4 separate regions of the Mus musculus genome follow, and regions 2, 3 and 4 are each reported to be linked to region 1. The links are microRNA targets in miRTarBase. Many come from high-throughput screens and were not tested one by one. Region 1 holds a microRNA gene; each other region holds the end of a gene's coding sequence.
The links. Region 1 holds the annotated microRNA mmu-miR-324-3p (CCACUGCCCCAGGUGCUGCU, at 3,158-3,177, opposite strand). A microRNA usually pairs through its seed, bases 2 to 8, with sites in the 3' UTR of a target mRNA and lowers its output. Matches are read on the target gene's strand: a 7mer-m8 pairs with bases 2 to 8, a 7mer-A1 pairs with bases 2 to 7 and ends in A, and an 8mer does both.

Region 1 (7,549 bases):
GGCCCGAAGGTCCGTATATAGCAAGGGGACACTGGGTCTGGGAACCAGGGCAGAACTGAACCCCGACTCCTTACAGCTCGCGATCTACTACTGTGCTTCAGGGACAACCCCGGCCTATCTCTGCCCAGCGACTTTATGCCAGGGAGGCCACTCAGGTAAGTGACAGTGGATGAGGGAGACGGACGTAGAAATGCGAGTTGCCAGTTCCCACTAGCCTGCGACCGACAGGGGTCTCTCTCTTCGACCCAGTCACCTGGTGGCAGTTCTGTCACTGAAAGTAGGGGAAAGGGCACGCCAGGGTGCCCTAGTGAGAAAGTAATGGAACATGCACCAAACGCACTTCCTAGAGCTAGCGCTTCCTGCACACCTTTTAAGACCCATCTCCAGCCTAACTGCTCTGCCCTTCCCTCCAGGCAGTTCTGGACAAGCCAGAAACCCTCTCCTCTGATGCTTCCACCAGAGAAAAACCAGCCAGGGCAGTAAGTGACTGGAAACTGGACTGACACTTAAAAACCAGGAGTAGAATCACCCCAGGCACCCACCTAAGATCCTTTCCTTCCTTGCCTAGGAATCGAAGTCCTTTGCTGTGGGGATGTTCAAAGGCCAGCTTACCATTGATCAGGTGTTCCCATACCCATCTGGTAAGTAAAGGCTTAGTCAGTCACTGACAGTGTGGGCAGGGGAGCCCTCTCTGCCTGACTAGCCTGCTCTTCTCTCCCATTATACAGTGCTCAGTGAAGAACAGGCACAATTTCTCAAAGAGCTGGTGGGACCAGTGGCCCGGTTCTTTGAGGTAAGGGATGACCAGAGCTCAGCCCCTCCTGGGCTAAGTAAGATGCTAAGGAGCTTAAAGGAGCCTCTGAATATGAGATTCTTCCTATTCCTTGCTCAGGAAGTGAATGACCCTGCCAAGAACGACGCCTTGGAGAAGGTGGAGGACGACACTTTGCAGGGACTCAAGGAACTGGGGGCATTTGGCCTGCAAGTACCCAGCGAGCTGGGTGGTTTGGGCCTCTCTAATACCCAGGTGAGAGGATCCCCCTGGTTAACATTCCACAGTGCTCCAGTTTTGGTAGACTCACCACTAGGGCCAAGCAAGTAGCCAGAGTAGTGTCTACCTGCCTGCCCTTTTTCTCACACATTTTCCCCTGAAACATGATCTGTGTGCAGCCCACTAGGACCGTGGACCTAACTGTGGTTCCCAGGTCTTTGGGGACTGTGTGAGGCAACACAGCAGGCAACCTTCCCATCAAGACCAAGGGCAGCTGGGCACAGTGGCACTCATCTTTAATCCCAGCATGGAGGATGGAGGCAGAGGCGGGCGGATCTCGAGTTCAAGGCCAGCATGGTCTACAGAGGGAGTTTCAGGACAGTCAGGGAAACCCACAAAGTTTCAGGCTAGCTGGAGCTACAAAATGAAACTGCCTCAAAAGGGGGGGGGGGGATTATCTAAGCCCTTTGATGTTCCTGCTCCTGTCTCCTTAGGAAAGACTCCAGGGTTTCATGCTAGAGAAGCAGCCTACCTGGGAGCCCCATGGCCAGCCTCCCTGTGCCCTGTCCAAACCCACTCCACTCCCCATGCTCAGAGTAGAGATGCTCCAAGCCCCAGGCCAGGTCTGCCCTGCTGCCCATTCTTGTTGAGGACAAGTTCAGTGCAGCCAGCTACAATCCCAGATGCCTCCTTTCCCTCCAGTATGCTCGCTTGGCAGAGATTGTGGGCATGCATGACCTTGGTGTTAGCGTTACCCTGGGAGCTCATCAGAGCATCGGTTTCAAAGGCATCTTGCTCTATGGCACAAAGGCCCAGAGAGAAAAATACCTTCCCAGAGTGGCATCTGGTAAGGCAACCTTAAGAGACCCAGGGGTAAGGAGTGTGACACTGCTCACGGTGTTACAAGGAACTGCCTGGGGATGAGGGGGTGCAACTCTGGTGGTCAGGATCCCCAGTGAGCCCGTTCTCTCCCCCACAGGGCAGGCTTTGGCTGCTTTCTGCCTAACAGAGCCCTCGAGTGGATCCGATGTAGCCTCCATCCGAAGCTCAGCCATACCCAGCCCCTGTGGAAAATATTACACTCTCAATGGGAGCAAGATCTGGATCAGGCAATCTTCCGTTTCTCTTCTACCCTTCAGCCCAGTGGCCTGACCCTGCTGCTCTAAACCCTATACTAACCACCTCACTCTTCCACAGTAATGGGGGCCTGGCTGACATTTTCACTGTCTTTGCCAAGACGCCAATTAAAGATGCAGCCACGGGGGCCGTGAAAGAGAAGATCACAGCTTTTGTAGTGGAAAGGAGCTTCGGAGGGGTTACCCAGTGAGTATGGGGCAAAACAGAATCAAGGATGGGGACAGCACTGGGCTCTCAAGAGCAAATAGTCAATACAGGCCACGCTGGGGCTATCTCTGTACAAGAGGCACCCACAGGAGGTGAGCAGTTTTGTTTCCACTGGGGGAACACAGGCTAACAGGCCATAGCTAGATATCCGTAGCCCCTGGGGCACATAGGCAGTGCCCTGTATCCTTTTTATAGTCTGGGGAGTTCTCCCCTGATCATGAGACCCGAAAAGGCCGTTTTCCCCCACAGCAACCTGTTCATACCTCAACTTTCCTGCCCTGCCTTTTCAGTGGGCTCCCTGAAAAGAAGATGGGCATCAAAGCATCTAACACGTCAGAGGTGTACTTTGATGGAGTGAAGGTGCCATCAGAGAATGTGCTAGGAGAGGTGGGAGATGGCTTCAAGGTTGCTGTCAACATCCTCAACAACGGAAGATTCGGGATGGCTGCAACCCTCGCAGGCACCATGAAATCCCTCATTGCCAAGGCGGTGAGTCCCAGCCCAGTCCCTAGCTAGCACATGTCCCTGACTGCCTCAGAGCGCCGACACACACACATGCACACTCGACCATCGGCACAGTTAGGCCTCCAGCCCGTCCAGGTGGAAACTGAAGAACCACAGTGGGGTAACATGCGCCCTCTTGCAGGTTGATCATGCTACTAATCGTACCCAGTTTGGGGACAAAATTCACAACTTTGGGGTGATCCAGGAAAAGCTGGCTCGGATGGCTATTCTGCAGTATGTGACTGAGGTAAGGGCCTCCTGGGCCCCTTCCCTGGAGCCCTATGGCTTTCTTCACAGTTGGGTCAGACTACAACCCCCAGCAGCACCTGGGGCAGTGGGTCTCCAGCTTTACACCAATGCCCTAGGGGATGCGAGGAGGCATAGTCAGTTCTCTTCTGGAGGGTGGTGCTGCTCTGCTAAATGCTGCCCAGATGCACCAAACACGACTTTTAACCCACCCCTTTACAAAGTCGGAAGCCTCGAAGCCCCTGATATACCAGAGGGTCACATATTGGACATATTTGACCTGACCAGGAGGCTAAAGTGAATTCAAGGGTTGGAGGAGTAGATCAGCACTGGTCTTGAAGGTCTGAGCATTAGCCATTCTGTCTGATGCAGCCCTTCCCTGTTGTCTTCCCCATGTCCCGACCATGCTCCCTTAGTCCATGGCTTACATGCTGAGTGCCAACATGGACCAGGGATTCAAAGACTTCCAGATAGAAGCCGCCATCAGCAAAATCTTTTGCTCGGTGAGGACCCAGGTGTGATGGGAGGGCGGAGTCCAGATTAGGACCTCAGCTCAAAAATCCAACTCATCTGGTTCTCTGTCCTCAGGAGGCGGCCTGGAAAGTGGCAGATGAGTGCATCCAAATAATGGGGGGCATGGGCTTCATGAAGGTACAGAGTATTCCTCGGCAGGGGGGGGCATCTGTTCAGAGTGGACAGGCACATCTCAACAGAGGTTTCTGTGTCTTCCTGCGTGCCAGGAACCAGGGGTGGAGCGTGTGCTCCGAGATATTCGAATCTTCCGGATCTTTGAAGGGGCAAATGACATTCTTCGACTGTTTGTGGCTCTGCAAGGCTGTATGGTAAGAGGAAGGAGGATGAGAGAGAGCAGCTGGGGAGGACACTGAGTCCTCACTGTCGCCGTCCCCCTTCTCTCCACAGGACAAAGGAAAGGAACTCACTGGGCTGGGCAATGCCCTGAAGAATCCTTTTGGAAACGTTGGCCTCCTGATGGGAGAAGCAGGCAAACAGCTGAGACGGTACCTCATGGGCCGGGGCCAGGGTCAGAGTCAGGGTCAAACAAGATGGGAGGCCGCAACTGACCAGTCACTCTTCCATCTCCTCTCAGGAGGACAGGAATCGGCAGTGGTTTGAGTCTGTCAGGGATTGTCCACCCAGAGTTAAGTCGCAGTGGTGAACTGGTGAGTGAGCCTTAAAGCAGAGCCTGCGGTGGCTGTGCGCTGCCTTCCTCTCCTGAGCTCTGTCTGTGACTCTTGTCTCTTCAGGCAGTGCAGGCTCTGGATCAATTTGCCACCGTGGTGGAGGCCAAGCTGGTGAAACACAAGAAAGGGATTGTCAGTGAGTGAGCTCTGCAACCCCCTTCCCTCCCTGATTCCCTCCCTCCGACTAACAGCCCCACCCTCATCTACCTGACAGACGAGCAGTTCCTGCTGCAGCGACTGGCGGACGGCGCCATTGACCTCTATGCCATGGTGGTGGTTCTGTCCAGGTAAGGCGGCAGCGAGGGACGCTTGGCAGGCTAGAGCCACAGAGGAGCTGGGCCAACACCAGCACTCAGGATCATTTTAACCTCTGTTTCCTCACAGAGCCTCAAGGTCCCTGAGTGAGGGCTACCCGACGGCACAGCATGAGAAAATGCTCTGTGATAGCTGGTGCATTGAGGTGAGCCTTGGAGCTCCCCAGTACAGGTGGGCCTTGGAGCTCCCCAGTACAGGACGGCCTGACCGTCCCTCCCCTTCCCTCTCCCCAGGCTGCAACTCGGATCCGAGAAAACATGGCCAGTCTGCAGTCCAGCCCTCAGCATCAGGAGCTCTTCCGGAACTTCAGAAGCATCTCCAAGGCCATGGTGGAGAATGGTGGCCTGGTCACCGGTAACCCCCTGGGAATCTGAGACTCCCAATCAGGCCCTGGCAAGGTCATGTGCCTTCTCTGATGCCAAAACCCTTTATGGGGGTGATGGAGTACTTATTGCCTTAACAATAAATTTTCTACCAAGTCACTGTCTGCCGTGAATGTCACTGCTCCCTCCTCTCCACTGCCTGCCTCGCAAAGAAAGGAGCCAGAGGCTTGGGGAGTTGGCCTCTATTTGCTTTATTTGGTGTTTTGTACAAGTGACTAAAATAAATAGAGTAACAAAGGCAGCTACACAGTCCCCAACACACCACCAGCCTCCTTGGACTGCTGTCTGGGGTACCCAGCCCACACCTTCTTCTTCCCAGGGTACCACTGACCACCACCCACCCTCAACATGAGAGCTGACTAGGCACCTGGAGGTGGCGGTCATATTCTGGGGTTAGAAGGGATTCTCCATATAAAAGAGGAACTGTCTATTTAAAAAAATACTCCCCCAAATATAAGAAAGTCTATTTTAACCCCCCAAAAAGCTTATAAAAAATAAAGCTAAAAATAACCAAAGGTCCCCATCTACCCCCGAGGAAGAGGGGGAAGGACCAGGCACTGCTGGTGAGAGTCACAGTGGCAAAAACGTTTTGGTAGGCACCAGCCGCCAGGCTGAGCCCAGGCACTATGAAGGGCACCAGGCTGAAACTTGCCAGGCCAAGGGCACAGACCCAATGTGGCCTCAAGATGGGTCCCTACATAACATCCACAAAAAACTCACTGGGGTTGCCCATGGCCATGTGGAAGCTCTGACGGCTAGCTGTCAGTTCTGGGGGCACGGAGCCCAGGTCTCTGACTGGAGGGGCACCAGGGGGCTGCACTGCTGTGGAGACAGGGGGTGGGGGTGGAGGCATCATAACTACCATCATGGGGTTATAGGGGAGAGCCATGCCAGATGGGGCTCCATAGGGATGGAGCCCGGGAAGAGCTCGGAGATTAGGAGGAGCGCCTGTCGAGCCCCTGGATGGAGGAGGGCCGCCATCACCAGTCCCACCAGGCTCCCCACCCCGCCGAAGGCTGCCTCCCCGGCTGGAGAGTTCTGACTCACTGCCACTGCCGGACTTGGACTCAGGGGCCCGTTCCTCAGGCCTGCCTGTGCGCCCAGCCCCCCCATCGCTTCTTGTCGACCCGCTGCTCCGGCTCCCTGTTGGAGGGCAGAGGTGACGAGGAAAATGAAGCTCAGCCCAGAGTCCTCAGGATCCCAGTCCCTGCTCTTGCCTCTCCTCCCCGAATCCGCTCTACTTGTGCCCACTTTCTCTGGCTGTACTGGTACGTGGGAGTGGGTCACTTACCCTCACTGTGCTGGCTGCTGGCACTGCCTCCACCATAGGTGTACGAAGAAAGCTCGTGGTAGGGTGGAGGCTGGGGGCTGTAGGGGTGTGGCGCTGGATACTGGTAGGAGAAGGTGGGCAGCAGGGGCCAGGGAGTAGCTCCAGGCAGAGGTGCCAGGGTATCCTGGTCTGAAGCCCCACTGGAACCGTCATTGTCATTCAGAGAGAGGTTAACTAGGTCTGGAAAAAAATGGAAGAGAGGTCCCTGCTTTAGGAGGCCAGGATTCCTGAGAACAGAGAAACCTGAGCCATTTCCCCAGAGCTCCCCACGAGACAAAAGCCAGAGACCATGATGGCTTACAACAGGAAACTCTGCTGCTCTGGCAGAGAAACAGCCAGGACTCTCACCAATAGCCCCAAAATGCTTTTGTGAGCCCCGTGCAGCACTCTTTCCCTTGGGGATGCAGCTCAGGTACCTCGCTTACTCAGCAGTACTACTCAGCAGTACCGGGGCACACATCAGCCTGAGCTCCTACAGCCAGACCTGCTGACTTACAACTCTCACAGCCACCACTGAGGTCCCCGAAGACATAATAGCACTGCTCAGAGAAAGTAATCTTGTTGACGGTGTGCCGGATGAGTCCCGCCTTCAACAGCCCACTGGCATACTTGCGGGCCTCCCGGCGCTCAGGAAAACCTTCCACGTGATGGTACAGCCAGTCCACCACATCGGAGCCTGGGATCCAGCACAGCAAACAGGTCAGACTCTCCTCCCAGCTCCTCCCCTCCCCTCCACCTTGTGTTGTGCCCAGCTTTGGCCTCCTCCCCACCTTCCCATGCCACCTTGCTCAGGGCCTGGGAATACCTAGAAAGGCGTTTGGGATGGTGATCTTGAGCCACATGCGGTCCCGGACTTCGAGCCCAGACTCTGGGGCTGCCATGGCCTTGGTGACAGAGGCCATGTCCATGTGGACAGAGAGACCCCGGCCTTCGCAGCCTGATAGGAGAGACCACGGAGAACTTACGAAAGGTCCCTCACACACCCAGGGAGGCGGGAAAGGAGAGAGACTCACCATCAGGCAGAGAGGAGCCAGATGTGATAGTGCTCATAGATGAGGAGCCAGGGTAAGCAGGGAAGGCGCCAGTCAGCGCAGCCGAGTGCGACACCCAGGCGGCTGGGTCGATGGGCTGGATGGGCTCATCTAGGACAAGAGTAACGTGAAACACCAAGATGATTGCTGCTCAAGCCTGGAAAACTAGGCCTGTGTGTTCCAGAATTAGGAGTTCTGTCTAC
Region 2 (7,549 bases), not on the chromosome of region 1:
CACTCGGGAGGCAGAGGCAGGCGGATTTCTGTGTTCGAGGCCAGCCTGTTCTACAGAGTGAGTTCCAGGACAGCCAGGGCTACACAGAGAAACTCTGTCTTGAAAAAAAAAACAAAAAACAAAAACAAAACTCTGGCAGAGTTCAAAACTCACATTTTCCTTTTTTTTTTTCTCAAAGAAAACATTATTCAGGGGATTACACAAAAATTTGACCTGGGTAACTGAAGAATATTAAGCTATCTTAAGAAAAGGTATACAAACACGTGGGAATAAACATTTTCTCTTTTAACTACAGTACACAGGCCTTCTTGGTGAGTGTCATTACTATGGAGAATAATAATATTCAGTCATTAATGTTGTGAATGCTGATAACAATATGAAGCTGAACAAAATACTAAGTTCTTTTCCACACATGTCTTGATGAAAGAAAAAGTTCAGCATATAATCTAGAAGGAAAGACTATCTACTTACCATGTGTTTTTGATAAATTTGAAAGTCGCTAAGTTTGTTTCAGTACATTAAAAATGCAATGAGGAGGCTCCCAACTAGACTAGCTAAGAGAGGAGCCAAAGAGAGAGGCCACAGGAAAGGCAGGCAGGAAGTAGACTCTCAGAGAAACAGGAAGTGCTAGCCAGTTAATGTTTAGGGGCAGAGATCTGGCAGAGAAATAAGCCTCTTTGTTTATTTTTGTTTTACCGTTTCCACCAGCAGAAAGAATATTAATATTTATCATCTATGTGCCTGTTTATCTGTTAAACAGTGTGCCTCTCGCTCCTCTTACCATACTGGCCACTGTCCATTTATTTATTGTGAACTGTTAAAAGCGCATTTGAGTTAAGTCATTATTGTATTTGTTCAAGCATGTGTGTCAGGCCCCTTACTTGGTAATGCAAATTGTTAGTGGTAATATTAACAATGCTTGTATCTCCCTCTTCCCCCCGTTCCAGGATCCTGATGCCTTTTGTGAAGACCTGCCTAATGGTCTTGCCTTCCGTGCAGACAATATGGAAGAGTGTGACAGACGTTGTCATTGGCCCATTGTGTACAAGTGTGGGCCGCAGCTTCTCATCGGTCAGCATGCAACTGAGCCACGACTGACCACTCAGACCCTGGGCAGGTCCAGACATTTGGATACTGTACAACTTTATTGATGCAACAAACTCACTACTGTTCTGTTCACTTCCCAACTGTTAAAATTATTCTTAAAATGGAACCCAGATTTATCGAAGTTCACTGTCAGATCTTTAAAAATAATGATTTTTCTCACCAAAAGCCAAGTTATATCTAATTATATAACAAGAATTGGCAACACCCAATGTAAGAACAGATATCTTTAGGAAAAAACATACAATTGCAGTGATGACTTGATAATGGTCAAAGGGCAACTTCCTCAGACATTAGAGTAATTTTGTGCATAACTGCTCATAAAGAGTAAGGAATTTCTTATTTTCTTTTCCTCTAGGAGTAATGTTCTTGAAGCTACTTTTACAGATATGGTCATAAGGCTAGCTAGAGGCAATACATTCCAACATTCTAGGAACTTTGTACATTAACAAAAGTATATACTTATGATAATAACTATTGAATAGTAAGAGAGATAAATGTGAAAATGTGTTCCTCTGTGATATTATTAGCCTGCAAGCCTATTTAACAAGATGTTTTGTTTTTCTGTATATTGTATACCTAATGCAAGTGTTACTCTAATGAAATCGCTTTGGAGTGTGTTTCTCTTGTGTTTGCTATTGTACTAATCTCATTATATAAAGTAAGCAGAGCTACCATAGGGTAACTTTCTTTGTAAGACTGTGATGTCCTATAGGAGAATGTTGATAGATTCTTTGGAATGCAGTGTAAAATGTGCTGTCTAGGTGTTCTCTCCAACTTACCCAGCAAATGTTTTATGACTGGGCTTCATCTGGCTGTGACCATAAGACATGTAGACATGTAGTTGTTTTGTTTACTATAAGTTTTCTTCTGAATGGTTAGAAACTTATTCTGTATTCTACATTCCTATGAATGCTTCACTTACTTTCAAGTAATTCTGGTGCTAGTTAATAATATTTTTTATGATAAAGGCTGTGTCTAACATCTAAGCACATTTTTTTTTTTACTACAGTGGTTCATATAGAGAAACTTACAGGAGAATTAACAATTGTGAGGGTTTATAAAACTGAAGTACATGTGTAAATTAGAAACTAACATTACAAATTTTCAAGATGTTCTCTAGTATGAATCTTAAAACCTATAAAACATTATTTCCTTACTCAGTATGGTCTTTTAAAAATTGGTATGTTAAAAAATTTCTACATTATAATTACATAATATTTCAAATTTCAGAATTATTATCAAACCCTGAATGAGCATTTGCTCGAATATGCTCATGGGTGTCAAATCTTCACTGAAAGAAGATAAATTTTTTTCAATTTTTCAATTCTGGTCATTATTATAGGTCATTGAACTGGGATTCTATTGCAGACCAGGTCAAAATATCATATTAAGAGACTAAGTGATAAAACTCATATCAATTTGATGGTAATCATAAAAGAAACATTTCAAAACAGCCTTAGGGTATTGTACCATCCTCAGTAAACGAAGTCATAGCTTGGTAATAGCCACAAGCATCGCCATTAATGTGACTGTCAAGATTGTATCACACTAGTTTCCAAGGTCAGTCTCATGCTTTATATTATTTTTGTAATTTAAGTTTTAAATGCCTGGGTGTATTGATTAGTCAAAACTTTAACAATAAAATATCAGTTTAATAAATTATAAGCTTCAACCTTTTAAAATAGTTCTGACAGATTTTAAGACAAATATGTATAATTATATATAAAAATCTTTAATTTTTAATATATATGATTTCCTTTTCCTAAATAGTATTGATTACTTTCAACTGAACTTTTACTGAAACTTTTCATGAATTATTTTGTCTCAAAAACTCAAATTGTGGATAAAAGGAATCAAAGTTAAATATGCAAATATGTTGATTTTGGGGGCAGGGCAATTGGAAGTCAGAGGCAAAGAAATTCCCTTATTATCCATAATAAACATCTCTAAAAACAGTGGATGATTTCATTGATTCTATTATAGTTTGTCTTTCTGCTGCTTATGTCGTACATCTGGTACTCAGGAACAAGAACCTTTTCAAATAAAGTTTCTTAAAATCTCAAATAACAAGGACACGAGTTGCTGTTCCAAGATGTATCTGTCAGGATGAAGAGATGGGTAAATGGTTATGGTACTTGCCATACAAGCAAATTAGAGTTTTGGATTCCCAGAACCCAGATAGAAGCCATGCAAACTTGGCAGTCCATTTTTAGCTCCATCATTCCAAAAACAGAGATGGGATCTCCAGGGCCAGCTGGCCGACTAGTCATATCCACAAGCTCCGAGGTCAGCTGAGAAATCTTGCCTCAGCCAACAAGGTGAATAGTAATAGAAGACTTCTGACATCAAACCCCAGACCTCTGCATGCATACAGCTGAGTGCACAACCACGTACACAAGTGTGTGCACACAGGAGAGAATGTGGACGCACACACTGCAAATGCACATGAGGAAAAAGAATGTTGTCCTGAAGAATTATGAGACTGATCGTTTAGTTCTCTGTTTTCCTAGCACTTGAAGAGATTCTGCATAAATGTTCCTGTCATTTGATAACTAATATGTGGTGGCTTGCTCACAAACCAACCACGCTCGAGCTTTGTAAAGTTTCATGTTGCTAATCCTAAATAAACTGATGCCTCTATTTCTAAGTCTTAAATATGAAAGTGATACCATTATAACTCACATACTAAAATACCTTGTATCCCAAAGCCAGATTTCTCCAAAATTATTTTTGGAGAGTAAGTGTGTGAGGAACAACTGTTGATATTGGCACAGACTTTCTTGTGGTCAATTAATCTGTTAATAAATCAGATATTTGGCTGCTTTCGAATGTTCTTTATAGATTGAAAGAACTTTAAAAGTCCCTCTTTTTACTAGTCATCTAAATCCCATTCATTTAGTTTCAAGTCTTTCTTGGAAGCTGTTGCTGCAGGAAAATGCTCCCTGCCCTAGAAGTGAGACATCCCCATTCCACCCTCAGCACTACCACGACTCCTGTAGTTCACCTTCTGCAAATGGCTTAGCATCTGAGTCTTGGATTTCTTATCTGTAGGGAAAATACTGAGTTAAATGTTCCTGCCAAATCTCCACATGTTGCTGCACTTTACACATTTAGCTATTTAGTCTAGGAACTTTAACAACAACAACAATAATAGTAATGATAATAATGAGGAGGAGAAGAAGACAGAGGAAGAGGAAGAGGAGGAAGAAGAGGAGGAGGAGGAGGAAAAGGAGGTGGGGGAGAAATGTAGTCAATTACTCAGTTGAGATATAGAACATACATTCACAGATATACTTTGTACTCTTCTATTGATTATAGGACTTTTTTATGACTTTGATTCTTTATGACAAAAACTTTTAGATTTTTATAAGCTCAAATATTATCATTCTATTCCCTAAAGTAACATGTTTTGGTACATTTTAAATAAATTCATATTAATTTGAAGATTTACTAACAAAATCAACATTTTGATAGATGTTATGGTTTGGATCTCAAATGTTCCCCAAAAGACTCATATCCTAAAGGCTTGGTCACCTGCCAGTGGTGCTTTTGGAAGTTGGTAGAACCTTTAGTAGTCTGGGTCTAAATGAAACAAGCCATGTCTTTGAAAGTGTAGAAGAAGATACTGGGATCTCAGCTCCTTGCTGTCTCTCTCCTCTTAGTTCCTGGGTACCATTTCAGTAAGCAGTTTGTTCTAATGCAAATGTTCTCCCTCACTACAGCCCAAAGTCAACAGGGCCAAGCAATTGAAACATCTAAAAGAAAATATGATCCCAAAATAATTCTTTCTATCTCCAAGTTACATCAAAGGCCCAAGCAATGGAAAGCTGATTGGCAACCACCATTGCCATTATCATCTTCACCCTCAGCCTGGCTGTCATCCAGCGCTCCCAGCTGGCCTTACCCTCTCTGTCAATATCTGCTCAAAGGTCCTTCCCTTAAAAATGTTATCCTATCAAAGCTATTCCATCTCCTTGACTTAAAACATTGGCTATAAATGATCACCCTTATATGATCAAACTTTTGAGTGACATGCACAAGGCTTATCACATTGTCACCATTAAAGAGTCTTTCTATTATCATATACAATGTTAACTAGCCCCATTATACAGCTGCTTAAGGACCCAACGCATCTCCACGTTTGATTCCTAAGATTCTGGAAGGCTGGCAACCAAATGAATTCAGGAAATGTTTTCTTCCTTCTTCTCCTTCTTCTTCTCCTCCTCCTCCTCTTCTTCCTCCTCCTCCTCCTCTTTCTCCTCCTCCTCCTCCTCCTTTTTCTTCTTCTTCTTTTTCTTCTTCTTCTCCTTCTTTTGGTTTTTCGAGACAGGGTTTCTCTGTGTAGCCCTGGCTGTCCCGGAATTCACTCTGTAGACCAGGCTGGCCTCAAACTCAGAAATTGGCCTGCCTCTGCCTCCCAAGTGCTGGGATTAAAGGCGTGTGCTACCATGCCTGAGGAAATGTTTCCTAAATGAGTAACTAGAGGAATAAATGATTAAGCAAAATCTGAGGTGCTTGCAGAATTAGGAGTAAGAGTCACATTTCAAAGGAGAGCAAAACAGACTGATTATGGCAAAAGTTCATATGCATGATTTTCATGCTCATGAATCACTATGGGAAAACTAGACCTTACGTAAGACATATGATGTGCATTCCTTCCTTTGGGGCAATACCAGTTGTGTTGCTTACACATGTCACTGCTATAACAAAATACCTGACATATACAATTTAAGGGGTTTATTTTGACTCATGCTTTAGGAAGAGAAACACTTGGTTGTGGTGGGGAAAGGCATAGAACAAGAGTGTGAAGAACTTAGTTTTATTGCAATCAGGAAGCAGAGTGCAGGGAGGAAGGCTCAGCTAAAAACTTTAGACCCTCCCCGTACACCCTGCTTCTTCAGGCAGGCTCCACATCCTAAAGGTCTCTACCTTCCTGCAGCTCTATCAGCAGGGAACCAAACGTCCAAACATGATATTTCTTACTCAAGACACGCCTGTCTAATTCTGTGTTGCCTTTATCCGAACCTGTTTTCAAATTGTCAAGAACAGGGATCTGTACAACTTGGAAACTTTCTTGTCGTCTTGCCTGTGTGGTTTTTGGAACGGGAGTTTCTTTCATTATCCCATTCCCCACTGAAATCAACGGAAGCATCGCTTCTGTAGAATGTTGCATCTCAGAAAACACATTCTATACATTGTGTCAATTGAACACTAGGACAAATTAAATGGCTTTGTATGGTAAGAGACCATATGAACTGCCCCATTTCTGTGGCTGCAGCTGCATCATTACAGAGTGTTTCCATAAGATAACAGGAGTTTCCAAAGGTTGTAGGGTTTATGTGAAGCAGCCACGGAAAGAAAGTGGGTAAAGACACAAAGAGCCCTTCGCACAGCTGACGCAGCTCATCACAAATGAGGATGCAGGACATTTTCTCTGAAAAACAGACAGATGGGGGAGGCAAAGGATACCAGTGCACTAGATATGCAGGCTAGAGATTCAAGGAATAAGAATAATTTGGGGTCAACTCACCAAGTGTCTTCCCTCTTCACTTCTAAGTAGTAAAATGAGCAAAAGAAGGCTCCCCCTAGTCCTAGTTTAAAATCACTTTTGTACCCTCTAGCCTCCCTCTGGGAAACATCTGAAAGCTGCCACAGGTTTCTTACCTCTGATGCCTTTTAAGTGGAAAATAACCTTGAGTAGGGTCACGTTTCAATTGATTAGCAGCCTTATATTTTAAACTTCACTATGAATGGATGGTCTAAAGGGGATATTGAACACTGCAGAAGGGACGTGCCCAGGAAGAGCCCTGAGTACCATATGGAGCACATACACAGACCAAGAAGAAAGCCCGGCTATAGACGAAAAGACAGGCGGCTACAATGGCCCTGACCTTGACCCTCCCCAGCTTGCTTTGGAGACCTCTGCTTCATATTCCTAAGCAGGGTTCGGTGGAAACTGAATAGGAGTGGAGAGAATCCAGTCCACAAAAGAGACTTCTTTTTCTCCACAAAGAATTGCTTTTGTCTTATTGAATGAAAGGGGGCCTGGGGGAAGCCTGGGGGCTCTGCAGGAACCAAATACCCTAAAGAGCATCCAGTGAGCAAAACTGAAGATGAAAATCCAAGTATAGCTGTGACCACTTGTGTCTCTTTCACCTTGCCCGGGTCCACTGTTGATCCCAGCTATGGTGTCTGTGACAGAGAAAGGATACCACAGAGCAGTCAGAGAAATCAGAGGACACCACTCCAACAATTACCCCAAAATAGGACAGGGACACCTATCTGACTGCCCTTGTGCGTGTTATGTTACCCAGCGTGGGTGCTCGGCTGGAGAAGTTATTTTGCCTTTATGGGAAGAAGTAGAGGTGGAGGAGGATTAGAGGAAGGAAGAGACGGGACTCGGTGGGAAACAGCATGTCACCAAGGGCAAATATTGCTCGCC
Region 3 (7,545 bases), not on the chromosome of region 1:
CAAAGTCAGCAGGAGATGTGAGCCTGAGAACACTGTCGAAGCCATCGGCAAGCTGCAGGATCAGAGGAGAGCGTGTCCAGGAGCCTGAGTCGAGAGAGGTGTGGGGAACTTGTTGACAGCAGCCTCATGATGAGGCCTAGAGGAGGGAGGCAGTCATAAATGGAGCACTGGTATACTGAGGTAACAAGGCTTTGAAGACTGGAACATCAGAGAAAGATCTCAGATCTCAGACTGATGACAGAGCCATGAGAGTCAATAGGTGGATTGTGAAATATGTCCTTAGCATCACATGTGGTAAAGACAGAAGGAACACTCACTCTTTTGTTTTTCGAGACAGGGTTTCTCTCCATAGTCCTGGCTGTCCTGGAACTCACTCTGTAGACCAGGCTGGCCTCGAACTCAGAAGTCTGCCTCCTGAGTGCTGGGATTAAAGGCGTGCACCACCACTGCCCAACTGGAACACTCATTCCTAATGAATCTACAGTCCAAACTACCCAGACAAAAAACTGAGGGGGCACTCAGCGGGCAGAGGGGAAACACTCACATCTCATATCTAGGATGAGGGCAAAGGATATTCTAAGGACCACAACACCTTCAGGCACTCATGGAGACCTCTACAAAGGACTGGGGATGGTGTGAGCAGACTGACAACAACCTCCCTCTGCCTCAGGTAGTCACTCAGCAGTAGTCTAAAACAAGGCCATTCTAGAATATTCTAATGAACTAGTGCCAAAGGCAGCAGGGTGTCCTGTTCTCAGGAGGTGGAGGCACAGTGGTGTTTCCAATCAATACGGAAAGCTTTGTTTTACAAGTGTTTGCCATAAGCAAGGAGCAGCTTCTAGAATGAGAACCAAAAGAGCGAGTGTCCAGAGCGGCTGATTAGATCGGGTTTCCCCTGTGCAGGGTTTAGAACATATTAAACAATAAATCTCCCAGTGTGGCAGAAATTACCGTAAATATGTTTCACTGATGGAAAGACATACTCTCTAAATCCCTCTGAAACAGACACAGTGTTCTAGTTGATTCTTTGCTAGTCAGGAAAATACTCTGCTAACCCAGTCATGAATTCAGTCCCACTTGCTTTCAGGCCTTGCATGTGGTCTGTCGTGGCCACTGTCCCATGTACATTTGAAAAGAATAAGCATGCTTCCTGCTGTTTGAGAGAAGATTCAAGAAATGCTAGCCAGGCCAGCAGACAACAATGGTGTTCAAGTCTTTTCTGGCCTTGTGTATTTTCCCAATAGAAACATGTAGATAATATTTTAAAATTACAATAATTATTATTGTGTGTGTGTGTGGTGGTGGTGGTGGTAGTGGTGGTGGTGGTGTGTGTGTGTGTGTGTGTGTGTGTGTGTGGTGATGGTAGTGTGGGGTGTGGTTGTGTATGTGTATGGTGTGTGCTGGTAATGGTGTGTGTGTTTGTGAGTGTGTGGTGATGGTGCGTGTGTGATGTGTATGTGGTGATGGTGTGTGTGGTGTGTGTGTATGTATGTGTGTGGTGATGATGTGTTTGTGTGTGGTGATGGTGTATGTGTATGTGTGTGATGCAGTATGTGTGTGTGATGCAGTATGTGTGTGTGATGCAGTGTGTGTGTGTGTTATGTGGTGGTGATGGTGTGTGTGTGTATGTGTGTGGTGGTGATGGTGTGTGTATGTGTGTGTGGTGTGTGTGTGTATGGTGTGCAGGATGTATGTGTGTGTGATGGTGGTGGTGTGTGTGTGGTGTGGGGTGTGATGGTGGTGTGGGGTTTGGGTGTGTATGTGTATGGTGTGTGGTGGTAATGGTGTATGTGTGTGGTGTGTGTGTGTGTATGTGTGTGGTGATGTGTGTGTATGTGTGTGTGGTAGTGATGGTGATGTTGTGTGTGTGTGTGTGTATTTGTGTGTGGTATGTGTGGTTTGTGGGGGTAGGAAGTAATATCTACTGCTTCCCATCTGATTTTTTTGAGATTTGGTTACTCACTGAAATTGGAGCTCACCAGTTTGGCTAGACTTACTAACCAACCTGGGGACCTGCTTGTCTGAGAGAATTGCGAAAAATGTTTATGGAGTTATAGATAGTCGCCACCATTCTCTGCTCTTATATGGGTGCTGGAGATCTGAACACGGGTCTTTATGGATACATGGAAAACACTTTACCCACTGTGCTGACTCCCAGCCCTTTGTATGTTTTTGCTGTTGGTGGTGATTTGTTCAAGACAAAGTCTCACATCGTTCAATCTGGCCTCAAACTCAAAATGTAGTTGAGGGTGGCCTTGAACCCTTCATTCTCATGCCTCTCCCTCCCGGTGTTGGGATGAAAAACTGGTATGCACACCCTAACCCTCCACAGCAGCACTTCTCATACAACGACAACCTGGGACCACCCAAACATCCATTGCAAAGAAAATGGGTGAATAAATGGTGTGGTAGTCACACAGTAAGCACACGAGAACTGGCATCTCATCACCATATGGTAAACTATCCATCAGTGTAAACAGATGAATCCCAAACAGGCTGAGGGAAGCCAGGCGCAGCAGTACAGCCTACAGTATGGAACCCACATAAGCTAGATGCAGAAGTGGATACACAGTGGAGACTGACAGCTTCTGGGTACTGGTGACATAAGCAGTTACAGTAAGAAAGAAAGTATATGTAGGCATGCTGACGGTCTGTGCATTCTATCTGCACGTCACCCGTGAGGCCAGCAAATAGCAAGAAATGTCAGGCAGGATTAAAGTAATGGAAATTCCTACCTGCAAACAACAAGTGTAAACGGCATATCTGAGTGGAAAGTGCTTTGAATCATCTAAATCCCAGTGCAAACGCCAGGGCCTGATAATTCTACCCTTCCCCTTGGTATTGTGTCCTGAGCAGTGTGCTTCCAGCTGCGGGTCAGCAGCAAATCAATTTGGGGAGTTGCAACTGGCATTTTTCTACAGACTGAAATGGAAGAGACTAGAATAAAGCAGCAGGAGCCAGGAATGTTCTCATGTAGCTTTTTAAAAAAACCCGTGTGCACACCATGGACACATACCAGGGATCTGCAGGTTTCCCCCAAAAGGGCAGGACACTTCCAAAACCAGCTAGTGGCTTTGTACCAATGCATCTTAATTTCTATGGGTGGCAAGAGACCCAGAGTATAAAGCAGTGGATTCTCAAATGTCTTTAGTGGAAAAGCACCAGAGCCCAAGAGCTATGGCAACAGTAAGGCTACTTCCAACCTGTAGGGTGAGTTATCTGTGTGGGATGGACCCCAGGGCTCTGTACCTAGATCTTAGTTTACCAGGGAGACAAGGGACTCCCTGGGAGGTTGATGGCATTATAGCATGGGTGTCAGTTGCAATTACTGAGAAGATGTCGTGCCAGGATTGGGGGGTACCAGGTCCATCAGAGAAGGTATGTGAGGGAATGAGGTAGCCCCACCTTCACGGGGGTTTCTGTGAGGGGCTCAGTGCACATAGAGGAAATATCCTGTGATATTCTGGACACTTCCTCAAGCTCTGGGTTACAAAACAGCCTCCAGTTGTCTTGTGGCTGGCTCTTGTGTAAATTTTATAAGGAATATTGTAGATGGCCCATCAGCCACGAAGGTGGGTAGGCTCCGAGCAAATTGAGCACTAGTAATTGGCCAGCTGTGGAAACAGCAGTCTTGAGTCTGATAGGCCCCCAACATGTCAAGACATCGTAGCATACAAAAGCAAAAAACATTATTAACAAAAGAGAAATGGCAACACATGCCCACAGAGATGAACATAGGTACTCAGCAGCACCTTTACTGACACCTGGAAATGAAGACAGGGCCACACGCTGATGGGGGAAGACACCACGACTCGGTTTATTCAGACAGAAACAACTAAGATCCAACAAGCACACAACAGCAATGAGTCTATCACACACAACACCGCAGATGAGCCTTGGCCACACAAGCGAAAGAAGCCAGACATTGCAGAGTCCAATATGGGATTCCCAGACATATGATGGCTAGCCGAACTGGTCTCCAAGACTCACATTTGAGTTGATGCTGTCTAATGGGATGGGGTAGACTGGGAGGACTGGGAGCTTTGGGGAGATAATGTCTACGTATCAGAGGGGCTGGGGCCACACAGTCTCTGTTCTTTAAAGCTCACTGGTTCAAAAGTCTTAAATCAAGCATTCTGCCCTAACTGAACTTTATCTTGAACACATATCAACACTGGAAGCAGGCAGACAAAAGGCCGGCTGAGTGGGAATGGGGAGAACACGGTGTTTTATTTTCCTTTTCTGGCTTGTGAATGTGTGTTGGGGGGTAGGGGGAAGTGGGTAGCCTGTCAGGAGCATCCCAGCAGTTCAGTTTTCCTAACCCTGAAGAGACCAGCACAGCGGTCCTGTTCCATGTCACAATGGCCTTGCCCTGATCTCCACTGTTGTCTGCATTTCTTGTGGTTGGAGCCACGTATGCACCATAATGGTAGAACACACATCTGTCAGGTGTTACCTGCTGTCTTCATCACTGGGGCTTGTGTTCCCCTTGGTCCCCAGATTCTGGCATGAATTTCCCCACCAGGGTCATCTTGCAGCATCCCGACAGTTCCAATATAGGGGCTAGAGATCTAGTCAGTCAGTGGAGGGCAGACTGAAACATGGCAGATGGGATCCTCGATGCCCTTAGGACTCTAGGGAAGACCTGGAACAATATCCAGAGTTCAGAGACCAGGCCTCTGCATCCCCTTCCTGTTCATAGGAATGGCCTGGGGCTCCCAGTGTGGAGTTCCTTTCCCACCAGCACCCTGGATGTCCAGCAGCTCTGTGTTTAAAGGTGGATTTGCCTGTAGGTAGTCAGGTAAAGGCAATGCTGGCCCTCTGGCATACCTCCTTCCTGACATCCTCATTCAGCTGGGATGGGCAAGTCATACCACGGAGGTGGCAGCCGTACCTACTGGAGGCTTGGTGCGTTCATTAAGTTCTTCTTTCATTCTGCAGTCCCCAGGACTATCCAAACAGGGACCTCAGCTTCAGGGCCTAGAACAGCTTGGCTGAGGGTGCAGGGCCCAGCTCTGTGAAACCCACCTGGCTGGTGGAGACAGCGGAGGGTCAACTGGGACCACGACACAGGGTGATTTCTTGCATGCCTCCCATGTTCTGGGCTTCACTCAGTGGAATCTCATAGAGATGTGCACAGCATGTTCGTTCTCCCATCCCACCACGGTGGGTTCTCTAGGTTGCCTGGTGCCATCTTGGGAAGGGGAAGAGGAACCTCTCGGGTCTTCCCTAAGTGCAAGGCAGACAGGGTGAGGCACCCCTAAGACTTGGTCGATGGCCCTCGAAAAATGAGTCACAGAGCCTGTTTTGCTTAGAAGTCTCTTGGCAGCTCACGCTATTCTACAACATTGAAGGGGCTTCGCACCACTCCTACTGGTCTAGAGAGATGTGCTCAGGTGAACTGTGGCCACACCACAGGACCGTGATGAGAAATCTTACTTTCAGTCTTCTAATTCCAGAGAGGCAGAAACATACAGGGATATCAAGGAAGATCCATGAGGGGATGAACGGCCCAGGCCCTGGACAGGATTTGGCTCCATCACAACCCTGAGACCCTCTATGCCCTTGCCCTCCTCGGGTTTATGGACCCTAGGAAATGCTCATGATTGATGCCTGTGACCCTGAGATGGAAGCAGGAGTCCTGTGGTGCCTCACTCTTCCTGTGAGACCCTGCACTCATTCACCTGTGAGTGGGACTCATCCACATATCTCACTGCTCTATTTCTTACCAATTCGCTTCAACCTAAACAAAATAAAAACCTGCCGGGGCTTACATCTGACACCTTTGAGTCAGAGAGCAGCCCAGCCTGGAGGGTTGAGGGAACCACATTATGGGGAGGGAGAGGGTGTGGCCAGCAGAGCACCATGGGAATTTCCTGGGCCGTAGGAATCCCACAGCACGAGGGGCTCTGGTTCCTGAAGGGGGATGAATTGTTTTGGCCTCAAAGGACAACTGAGATCAACACTGGATCATTCTCTGTGACACAGATGGGTGTGTGCTGTCTGTAAGCCAGGGAGTGACTGTCACTTGCTCTGGAGAAACTTTAATGAGGGACTCAGCCTGTAACTATATCAGTCCTCAACTAGCTCCAACCAGGCCTGTGGCCTGACTAGAACCAGGGTCAACCAGGGCAGCATCTCTCTCTCCTAGGTGTCTCATGGCCGGTTTGGAAGATGTGGGTGACTGACGAGTCGCATGGCCCTGTAGAGACCTGGGAGCTAGGTGCCGCTATTCCCTAGATCATACCAGCCAACCATGGAGGCAGGAAGAGTCCCACAGTGCCCAGAAGGCAGACAATGATGAACATCCAGAGGAAGATTCGGTCAATGACCATGGCCACGTATTTCCAGTCCTCCTTCACCTGCAAACACAGACATGGGTCATTCTAGCTCTCAGATACCATGGGCAACCATAGAATCTTCTGGAACCTGGCACTATGAGCCACAGTTTCTGTATTTCCCATCAGATACACATCTGTACACTGATGTGGTGAGACAGAGCATGGCCAGAGAATCTGCAGGGTCAGAGAGGCTGCTGCTAGGTAGAACAGAGGGAGGTAACATATGAGGTGGACTGGGCATCTATAGAACCCATATCTAAGGCTGCATGTGTGGGGTCTTTGAATTCAGACACATCTGAGTGCTTTCTGGTAGTCCACACCGCCACAGAAGGCTTGGGGATCATGTTGTACACTAGCTGGTCTTACCTGCTTGGCAGGCTGCCTAAGCTCAAAATGTAGCTCATTGGGCCTACTTTGGCCAGACAAAGGGCCCATGACTTCGGGATGAAGTATGTCTTATGTTTTCTAAAGCTGGTAGCAGCACAGAGGCTGAGTCTATCTTCTCACAGTGCAGATGTCAGAAGTGGATCCCAGGGGCTGGAGAGATGGCTCAGTGGTTAAGAGCACTGGCTGCTCTTCAAGAGATCCTGGGTTCAATTCCCAACTCCTACATGGTGGACACAACCATCCATAACTCCCTTTTCAAGGGATTTGACACACTCTCTGGCTTCTGCTGGCAGCAGGCATGCATGTGACACACAGACATACATGTAATCAAAACATCCATACACATAGCATAAAATCAAATTAAGAAAAAGTGGATCTCAGAAAGATGTCAGCCACGTGTCCTAGTCCAGAGGGTAAGAGCCAGGACATGCTGGGTAATGGATTGATCACTAAGGCCATCCCAAAAGCAAGGCCTAAGTGCCCAACTGCCCCCTGGTCTGCTTCTGACCATGCACACCTACTTCTTACATGGGCAGCATAGCCAGCCTGAGCAGGCACTGGTGGGGAGGCAGTGGTGCCAGGAGATGTTCCAAGAAGGGAGGATGGTCAGAGACAGAGGGTGAATGGTGGCAAGATGCACACAAAAGAATGATATATATATATCCACCGTTTGTGACTACCCAGTCAATCCTCATTGGACCGTGCTATATAGCACATGGTGACGATGACGTCCAAATGACTAATGGCTCCTTCTACACACACTTCTGGATCCCACAGTGTGGACTCTAGCTTCTTCCAGGGCCTGATGCAAAGTAGC
Region 4 (7,549 bases), not on the chromosome of region 1:
TCTATACGCTCGGACTTTCATGGAAGAGAAAGAGCCAGTGTACTTGGAGAGCCAGTGCCTAACTTTCCTACTTGCACCGAGATGTTGGCCTGCCCCGGCCACTGTAACCTCCAGGAAGCAGGAGTTTCTGTGCCACATCCAGCTCAATACACGTGTGTCTGATTCTGGGCAAGTCGGCTCCTTTCTCTAAACTTACCTGTGACAGGCAGATGGAGGAGTCGTGGAAAGGAAAATTAAAAGCACCTAGCAATTAGAAGGTCCAGAGAGGGCTGGACAAGTGAGACTGTGAGCTGTACCCACCCCCTGACTCAAATCCGGGTGCTTTGGGACAGGGAAGGGTAGCGGACTATGTGACCACCCCTGCCAGCACGCCTCCACCAGCGTCGCCACCAGAGTTCGCAGAGCCAGTGAAGCATGCCCTTCCCCCACGCCATTCCCAGCAGCCCTGGCCGCCCCGCCCCTGTTGCAGCTGCTGTTCGCGTACCCACCCCGCTCGCTCGCTCGCTTGGCCCTTTCTGCACTGTCATCTGCCCCGGTGAGGCTCAACTCCGGAGTGGGACTATCCGAAACGCTCCGGACCACAAGCCCGACTCCACCCAGCAGGGAGGGAAAGGAGACAGATTGGGCAGAATCCCAGGCCTCACCACCAGCAGCGGAGTTCGAAGGTCTGTGGGCCCCACCCTTCCGCGGGACTGAAGCTCTAGGACTGAGTGGAGGGCTGGTGAGGGTACCCTTGCAGTCGCGCATGCGTGACCAGCTCCCGCTCCTGGTTTCCCACCCACAATAACAAATCTCATTCAGCCAGCAAGCTAGGGATCCCAAAAAATTACCAGGTCTTACTTCTCCACCTGGGGCTCAGGGTACTATTTAGACTTGTTCTTTGATGCACTGAACAGGGCATAGCCAGCATTCACCTTAGAGCTGTGATAACCTCAGAGAAACACAGCTAACATAAACTCAGGGTACAGAGGGGGGAAAGAGGAGGCCAATCCTGCCTCGAAGTCGGGCCAGAACAGGAGCTGACATCACCCCCTTCTCTGTAACCAGTGGTGGGAGACAGTCTTTGGAAGCCTCATTGAGGACAGCAGAGGTCCTGAATACAGTGTAGTGTGGATCCCAGTAAACACAGTAGTGAGGACCAAGGCACACAGAAGGAGCTCCGAACCTTTGAACTCTCAGGAATTGGGGTAGACATGGGAGCATTTGAGTGTTAAGGGCTGGGTCCACAGAGTAGAGGGGAGAGACAAGTATCCCAGGCCCAGGGACCAGCGTTGGCAAAGGCTAAAGTGCTAGGACCATAGTTCTCACAGGACTGAATGGTTGGATGGAAACCTAGCTGTCCAGAGTGGTGGGAGGGGGTTAAAATAGCCAGACTAGTAGCTTAGATTCTTTGGTGAGTACTGGAGACAAAGGGTGGGTGTCTACGCCTGCCATTCAGCTAGACAAGGAACATTATAGTTTAGGCTAGGGCAAGTCAGATTCCAGTTGTACTGGGTTCCTCCGAACCTGCCTCTTCATCCATAAAACCGGAAAGATAAATTCTACCCCAGAGTTGTCAAAAGTCACAATGTTGGAGTGAAGGGAGGCGTGGGGTGTGAGAGAAGTGCGCAGAGATATTTATTGTCCCGGGAGGCAATCGGCTGCTGCTGGGTTTAAGGAGAAGAAGCTAATGGAGACTGATTAAAAGACATCTGACAGGGATGGGGCATGAAGGGAGATGTGGGTTGGAGGAGTACCCTGTCTGCGCTTAGTGGCCTTGGGGGAGAAGGACCAACAGATATGAGGGATGGAGACCCAAGGTGTGAAGTGCCCAGGGACAGGACAGTGTGAGTACTGAGGCATGGGACTTTTGATATGTGTGGGGCAGGGGTTGGGGGATATGACTCAATGGGCCAGGAAGAAGGTAGAAACAGGAACATTTAAGGCAGAGGAGACCAGGGCTTGGGAGGCAGAGGCAGGCGGATTTCTGAGTTCGAGACCAGCCTGGTCTACAGAGTGAGTTCCAGGACAGCCAGGGCTACACAGAGAAATCCTGTCTCGAAAACAAAAAGCAAACAAATAAACAAACAAAAAGGCAGGGGAGACTTAGAAGGATGCTGTATGAATAAAGAGAAGGCAGAGGGAATGGCCAGGTTTCTTTTTTCCTTAAAGTCAGGGCCCTTATTGGCTGGGTTAGGACACCCAACTCGTTGGGAGGTAGTCATGATAGGCAGGAGCTGATAAAAAATGAGCAGAGGAGATTAATTCATACTTGGTTCCTACGGTTTGGTACAGGCAGCCTCTCAAAATGGGTAATCCATGGAGGGGAAGCTAAAAGTCTGGTAAGCACTCCTAGTGGCTTTTAAGAGCTGGGCATTTCAAGGTCAAATAAGAAATGGCTGTAAGTGACTGCCGGGCCATTAGGGAAACAAGTGGGTCCCTGATACCAGGAGATCTCTCAAAATTAAAGTTCAGTTGTGCTACGATAACCTGGAAGAGTCCCAAGACTATGTTGAGGCTGCGGACGGTGGTGAATGAAGGGGCAAGGTTCTGGGATGCCTGGACCTCCGTGTTAGGTGAATGGAACACGGGTGCCTTGGCCCTTCGGGTGCAGACCCGATTGTATGAGCGATCAGGCAGGCTGCCCTTGATCCAAGGTTTGCTGCAGGGGCGAGGAAGAAGGTATGAATCAAGCCTAGGGTTTTCTGCCTATTTAGGTAAGGAATTGGGTTCAGACAAAATAATTCAGTTGGATAAACTGGGTCTCAACTGGTAGCCAACTGTGCAGGTGTCTGGGGCTTAGGAGGGAGGGAGGTCCTAGCTGGGAAGAGCACTCCACTGACAGGTGGAGTCTGCAAAAGAAACCTGAGGAATCAGGACAGAAGCAGCCAAGAAGCTGGAGGGTGCGTTCTGGGCCCCTGGCCTCTAGGTCTTGCGCTGAGCAACCATCCAGACTCTGATGTTGAGGTGAACTTAGATAACTCCTGGTCAGCGTAGAGTAACGCAAATTACGCCCCGCCCCCTTCTCTCCTTCTTGACACAGCAGAAATGGGCAACGTGCAGGAGCGCCCATCAGAGACCATTGACCGGGAACGGAAACGGCTGGTAGAGACATTGCAGGCTGACTCTGGGCTGCTGCTGGATGCGCTGGTGGCCCGGGGCGTCCTCACTGGGCCCGAGTACGAAGCCTTGGATGCGCTGCCCGATGCAGAGCGCAGGGTGCGCCGCCTACTGCTGTTGGTGCAGAGCAAGGGCGAGGCAGCCTGCCAGGAGCTACTGCGCTGTGCCCAGCAAACAGTGCGCATGCCAGACCCGGCCTGGGATTGGCAGCACGTGGGGCCCGGTGAGCACCAAGAGGGTGGAGCCTTGATGAATCGAAGGGCGTGGATTAGGGGCAGGGCGAAGCAAAGGGTAAATGGAGGGCAGAGAATTTGGAGGTAACCACAGAGGGGTGAACTGAACCTCAAGTACTCCCTCTTCCTTCCCAGGCTACCGGAACCGCAGCTATGACCCTTCATGCCCAGGCCACTGGACGCCAGAAGCACCCAGTTCAGGGACCACATGTCCTGAGCTGCCAAGAGCGTCAGAGCAAGAGGAGGTCGGAGGTCCTGAGGGCTCTGAGGCACTGCAGCCTCGAACTCCAGAGGAGCCAGAACTAGAAGCTGAAGCTACTGAAGGGGATGAGCCAGACCTGGAACAAGAAATGAATCCAGAACAAGAGCCGGAGCCGGAGCCCGAGCCAGAACCCGAACCCGAGCCCGAGCCGGAACCCGAGCCCGAGCCAGAACCCGAGCCCGAGCCGGAACCCGAACCCGAGCCCGACTTCCAAGAAGAGGATGAATCTGAAGGTTGTGAGAGCGCCTAAACCCTTGCTTGCAGGCTTGTTACGGGTTGTGGACTGCAAAGTGTGTGTGTGTGGGGGGGGGGGGTTGATCCCTATTCCACTAACCATCATTTTCATCTCCAGATTCCTGAAGGCCAGAATCCTTAGCTGTCCAATCCTATTTGTGCTGGATAAGACCTGGAAACCTGCCAGAGCTTGACCCCATCGATGCACCGAGACACCTACTGCCAAATGAATAAACTCAGGAGGGTCAGTCTGTTCCTGACTCTCCACAAGTCTGGCTCTTTGCTCAAGAACTGAGGGTGAGCGTGGGTCTGAATCCCACTGACCTGAGCAGGCTTGTGTGAAAATACCCCCATCCCCTCAAAAACATTCCACTTCCCAAAGAGCCCAAGCTGTAATTCTGGAGATCTCAGATGCAGGCCCCCAAATCTGACCCTCCCTCACCCACTTTATTCCCCTCAGGGGCCATTTGGGAGGCCGAGTGGGCAACACTTCTAATCCATGGAAATCACTCGGCTTGGTGTACCAAGCAAGTGAAGGGGGATGTCCATCCACACATGGAGAGAAGTCTTGGCGCTCACAGTCTTGCAGGGAGGACCTGAGAGGAAACTTGAGTAGACAGAAGCCACACACATCATTGTAACTGCTGTTTAATTGTCTGGCTTTCCTCTGAACTGGGAGCTCAGTGAGGGGCGTGGGGTCTAACCAGTCACAGACATACACAAGGAGCTCTGCACATATCTACTAAGTAAATGAATACAAACTTCCCAGCTGTGTTTCCAAGCTTCACAGATGGAAACATTAACTGAAAAGCCAGGGTTAGGACAGTACTAGCTCACTCTCCCACCGCTGAATCTGAAGTGAAATGAAAGCCTTAACCAGCTCTGTACTAATCCTGGCCTGAACGTGGGATAACAAACCCTAGGGCCTGCCCTGTAGGTTTGATTGTGGTTGCTCCCGCCTGTCCTAACCACTGCCAGAGACCAGCTGTGAGGCTGTGGTTAAAGACAGGCACAACCAAGACTAACATGGGGACTGAGGGTGGGACCAGGTGCTGGACTCACAAGACACAAGACACAGTGTGTCTGTGTGAGTGATAAGAAAGGGGGTCTAGGGGGCTGGAGAGATGGCTCAGTGGTTAAGAGCACTGACTGCTTTCCCAGAGGTCCTGAGTTCTACTCCCAGCAACCACATGGCGGCTCACAACCATCTGTAATGGAATCTGATGCCCTCTTCTAGTGTGTCTGAAGACAGCTACAGTGTACTCGTATACATAAAATAAATAAGTCTTTGAAAGAAAAGAAGGAAGGAAGGAAGGAAGGAAGGAAGGAAGGAAGGAAGAGAGAGAGAGAGAGGGAGAGGGAGGGAGGGAGGAAGGAAGGAAGGAAGGAAGGAAGGAAGGAAGGAAGGAAGAGGGAGAGAGGGAGGAAGGAAGGAAGGAAGAGGGAGAGAGGGAGAGGGAAGGAAGGAAGGAAGGAAGGAAGGAAGGAAGGAAGGAAGGAAAGAAGGAAGGAAGGAAGGAAGGAAGGAAGGGGTCTAGGAACATACGGTACTTTTCCAAAGGATCCTGCCCCTACATGGAACTACTACTACTACTACTACTACTACTACTACTACTACTACTACTACTTCCGGGCCCCGCCTGGAGGCATGAAATGACCCCATGAGGGCGACTATGGAACAATGCATGACCAGTGAGACAGACAGAATGCTGAAAGGCAAAGCCCAGCCCAGCTGGGTCTCTGAGCCTGAGTGACAGCCGGAACCCCATGCTCAGGCAAATCACCTCAGAGGGGTTCCCAACTCCTGCTGGCCCCAGTGAGAGGTAGAGGTATGAGTGTAGAAGGAGCACCAATCGGCCAGGTAGGGGGAAGGGAAGGAGTGGTACCAGACACCCAAAGCCATCTCATGCAGGAACAAGTTTCTATTCCCAAACCAACCCACATTTCTATTCACACTCAGCTCCCATCTCATCGCCCTCCCATCTCCCCTGCTCAGGAGTTTATGTGACATGCTGCTGCAGTTCACAGGCCCCAGGAAGGGTAGCAAGGACAAAAACCTTCTAACGTTGCTTCTCATCTGCCCACGATGCTCCTGGCCTCCCAAATGCCCCCAAGAAACACCTAGGCTATGGAACCATAAAGAACTTCATATTCCGATCTGTGACCTCTGTCAAGAGCGTCTGTCTATAACCCTTAGTCAACATCAGTCAGGCAGCAGGCGGCCCAGCTCCGCTTCATCCAGCCGGTTGGTGGTCATGATGTGTTCCAGCTGCTGCCGGTAACGTTCCAAGTCCTTCATGAAGTGGGGCACTCTGGTATTGTCTAGCACCCCGTAGGGCCGCAGTTGTTCCACGTCTTCATAGGAGACCTATAGGAAGCAAACTGAGCCTCAGAGCTAATCAAAGTGCCTGGCTTTCAAGTCCAGGATCTACCCATGGCTCAGGGCCATTTGCTCCTGAGATGATTGTGTATATTCTTCATCGACTCCTACAATAGATACCTTCAGGCTCTGCCCTGGATCTTCTATCTTTCTCTCTCTATCTTTTATCTACGTTGTACAACCCATTCCTCTCCAGCCCACCTTATCTCCTCACCTCTAAATGGTATCCAACTGATACCTGGGTCTCTCTCTCGGGTTATCTCCCACATCCAACAGGAGACTGTTGAATGTCAGCTGTCTGTCCTCCCCTCTGCATAGTCACCACAATCAGGTCCAAGAAAGGCCGACTAGGTTCTCATTTCCCCATTCAGGGAGTCCAACAGTTCTTTTATCTGTAGTTTATAGCTTTGCCATTATCAATTCTGTAAGAGTGATGGAAGACCTCCTTCTCTTGCCTATCTAGGTCTTCCATTTCCTGCACTTCCCACAGAACATTCAGTTGGAGCCTTTTAAAGAAAATCCATGCCCACACATTTACGATACTCCCCCCCCCCCTTTGCTTCTATCGAGGTTTGCCTCAACCTGGTACAAGACCTGGGCTTTGGTCCCTGGCCATTTCTCCCACCTTCTTCCCCAGAACTTCTTGACCTCTCCCTGCCTTGGAGTGCTCACCTCCCTTAACACCTATGTACACATCTGCAGGCTAGGTCACACACCTGATCTGTGCTACCAAAACTTTGTCTCATTTTGTCTGCCTTCCCAAGTGTCGAGGCCTTCACCAAACATAACTCTAAAGAAGAAAGAGCTGGCTGGGCCTTTCGGCCCTTTACCTTGCCCAGCGAGGTCAGCAGCTGGAAATCAATGGTGTGCCGGTGCCGTAGGATGCGCAAAATGCCATCCAGGTACACCTGGTCCTTGCTGAAGCAGCCTGTGAGAAGGATAACCAATCGAGCCTTACCCAAAAGCCACCCTTCACCTTGCGCCAGCTTGAGCATTCTTGCGACTCCACAGTTCCCACCTGGCTGGGAGGTATCCGTCTGTCCTCGCTTGGCACGGACGCAGTACTCCCAGCGTACACCCTCGTCCTGCACGTACTGCGCCAGATCCTGGAAGAGCTGGCGGAAGGACATGTGCGCCGCCTGGTGGATGGTGTAGTAGAGCAGGGCGGCGCGCCACAGGAATGGTTGCTTTCGAAACAGCACACTATGCAGGCTAGCCAGGCCCTCCTCAGTAGGGTTGGCTGGCTGAAGGCCGTACTGCAATCTGCCTTCAGTGCTGTGCCACGGTTGCCGCGAATTATTCACACCACGCAGGTAGTGGGTGCCTGCAGGGAGGAGGAGG

Region 2: miRTarBase lists Cav2 as a target of mmu-miR-324-3p. Seed matches in the 3' UTR shown: 7mer-A1 at 1,354-1,360.
Region 3: miRTarBase lists Chrna4 as a target of mmu-miR-324-3p. Seed matches in the 3' UTR shown: 7mer-A1 at 5,711-5,717.
Region 4: the mRNA of 4931428F04Rik is a reported target of mmu-miR-324-3p. Seed matches in the 3' UTR shown: 7mer-m8 at 4,798-4,804.

Annotation. Positions count from the first base shown.
Region 1 is chr11:70,007,723-70,015,271 of GRCm38, reverse strand. Mir324 (microRNA 324) reads right to left here and starts at 3,229; the gene lies at 3,141-3,229. It overlaps Dvl2 (dishevelled segment polarity protein 2), which reads right to left. Exons shown (of 15, transcript NM_007888.4): 11 at 7,329-7,457; 12 at 7,121-7,252; 13 at 6,812-6,991; 14 at 6,277-6,495; 15 at 5,163-6,128. The coding sequence ends at 5,680. It overlaps Acadvl (acyl-Coenzyme A dehydrogenase, very long chain), which reads left to right. Exons shown (of 20, transcript NM_017366.3): 1 at 1-9; 2 at 77-155; 3 at 414-479; 4 at 569-641; 5 at 729-793; 6 at 893-1,027; 7 at 1,694-1,838; 8 at 1,971-2,100; 9 at 2,189-2,314; 10 at 2,626-2,824; 11 at 2,982-3,086; 12 at 3,502-3,588; 13 at 3,674-3,736; 14 at 3,826-3,927; 6 more. The coding sequence ends at 4,976.
Region 2 is chr6:17,285,950-17,293,498 of GRCm38, forward strand. It overlaps Cav2 (caveolin 2), which reads left to right. Exons shown (of 3, transcript NM_016900.4): 3 at 948-3,181. The coding sequence ends at 1,098. Among named protein-coding and RNA genes, the nearest start is that of Cav2, 8.5 kb to the left of the region's middle.
Region 3 is chr2:181,018,518-181,026,062 of GRCm38, forward strand. Chrna4 (cholinergic receptor, nicotinic, alpha polypeptide 4) reads right to left here. Exons shown (of 6, transcript NM_015730.5): 6 at 3,794-6,362. The coding sequence ends at 6,237. Among named protein-coding and RNA genes, the nearest start is that of Gm30797, 6.6 kb to the left of the region's middle.
Region 4 is chr8:105,275,949-105,283,497 of GRCm38, forward strand. 4931428F04Rik (RIKEN cDNA 4931428F04 gene) reads right to left here. Exons shown (of 8, transcript NM_028888.2): 6 at 7,227-7,532; 7 at 7,039-7,136; 8 at 4,461-6,196. The coding sequence ends at 6,032. It overlaps Nol3 (nucleolar protein 3 (apoptosis repressor with CARD domain)), which reads left to right and starts at 499. Exons shown (of 4, transcript NM_030152.4): 1 at 499-665; 2 at 3,026-3,322; 3 at 3,468-3,827; 4 at 3,947-5,991. The coding sequence starts at 3,028. The coding sequence ends at 3,954.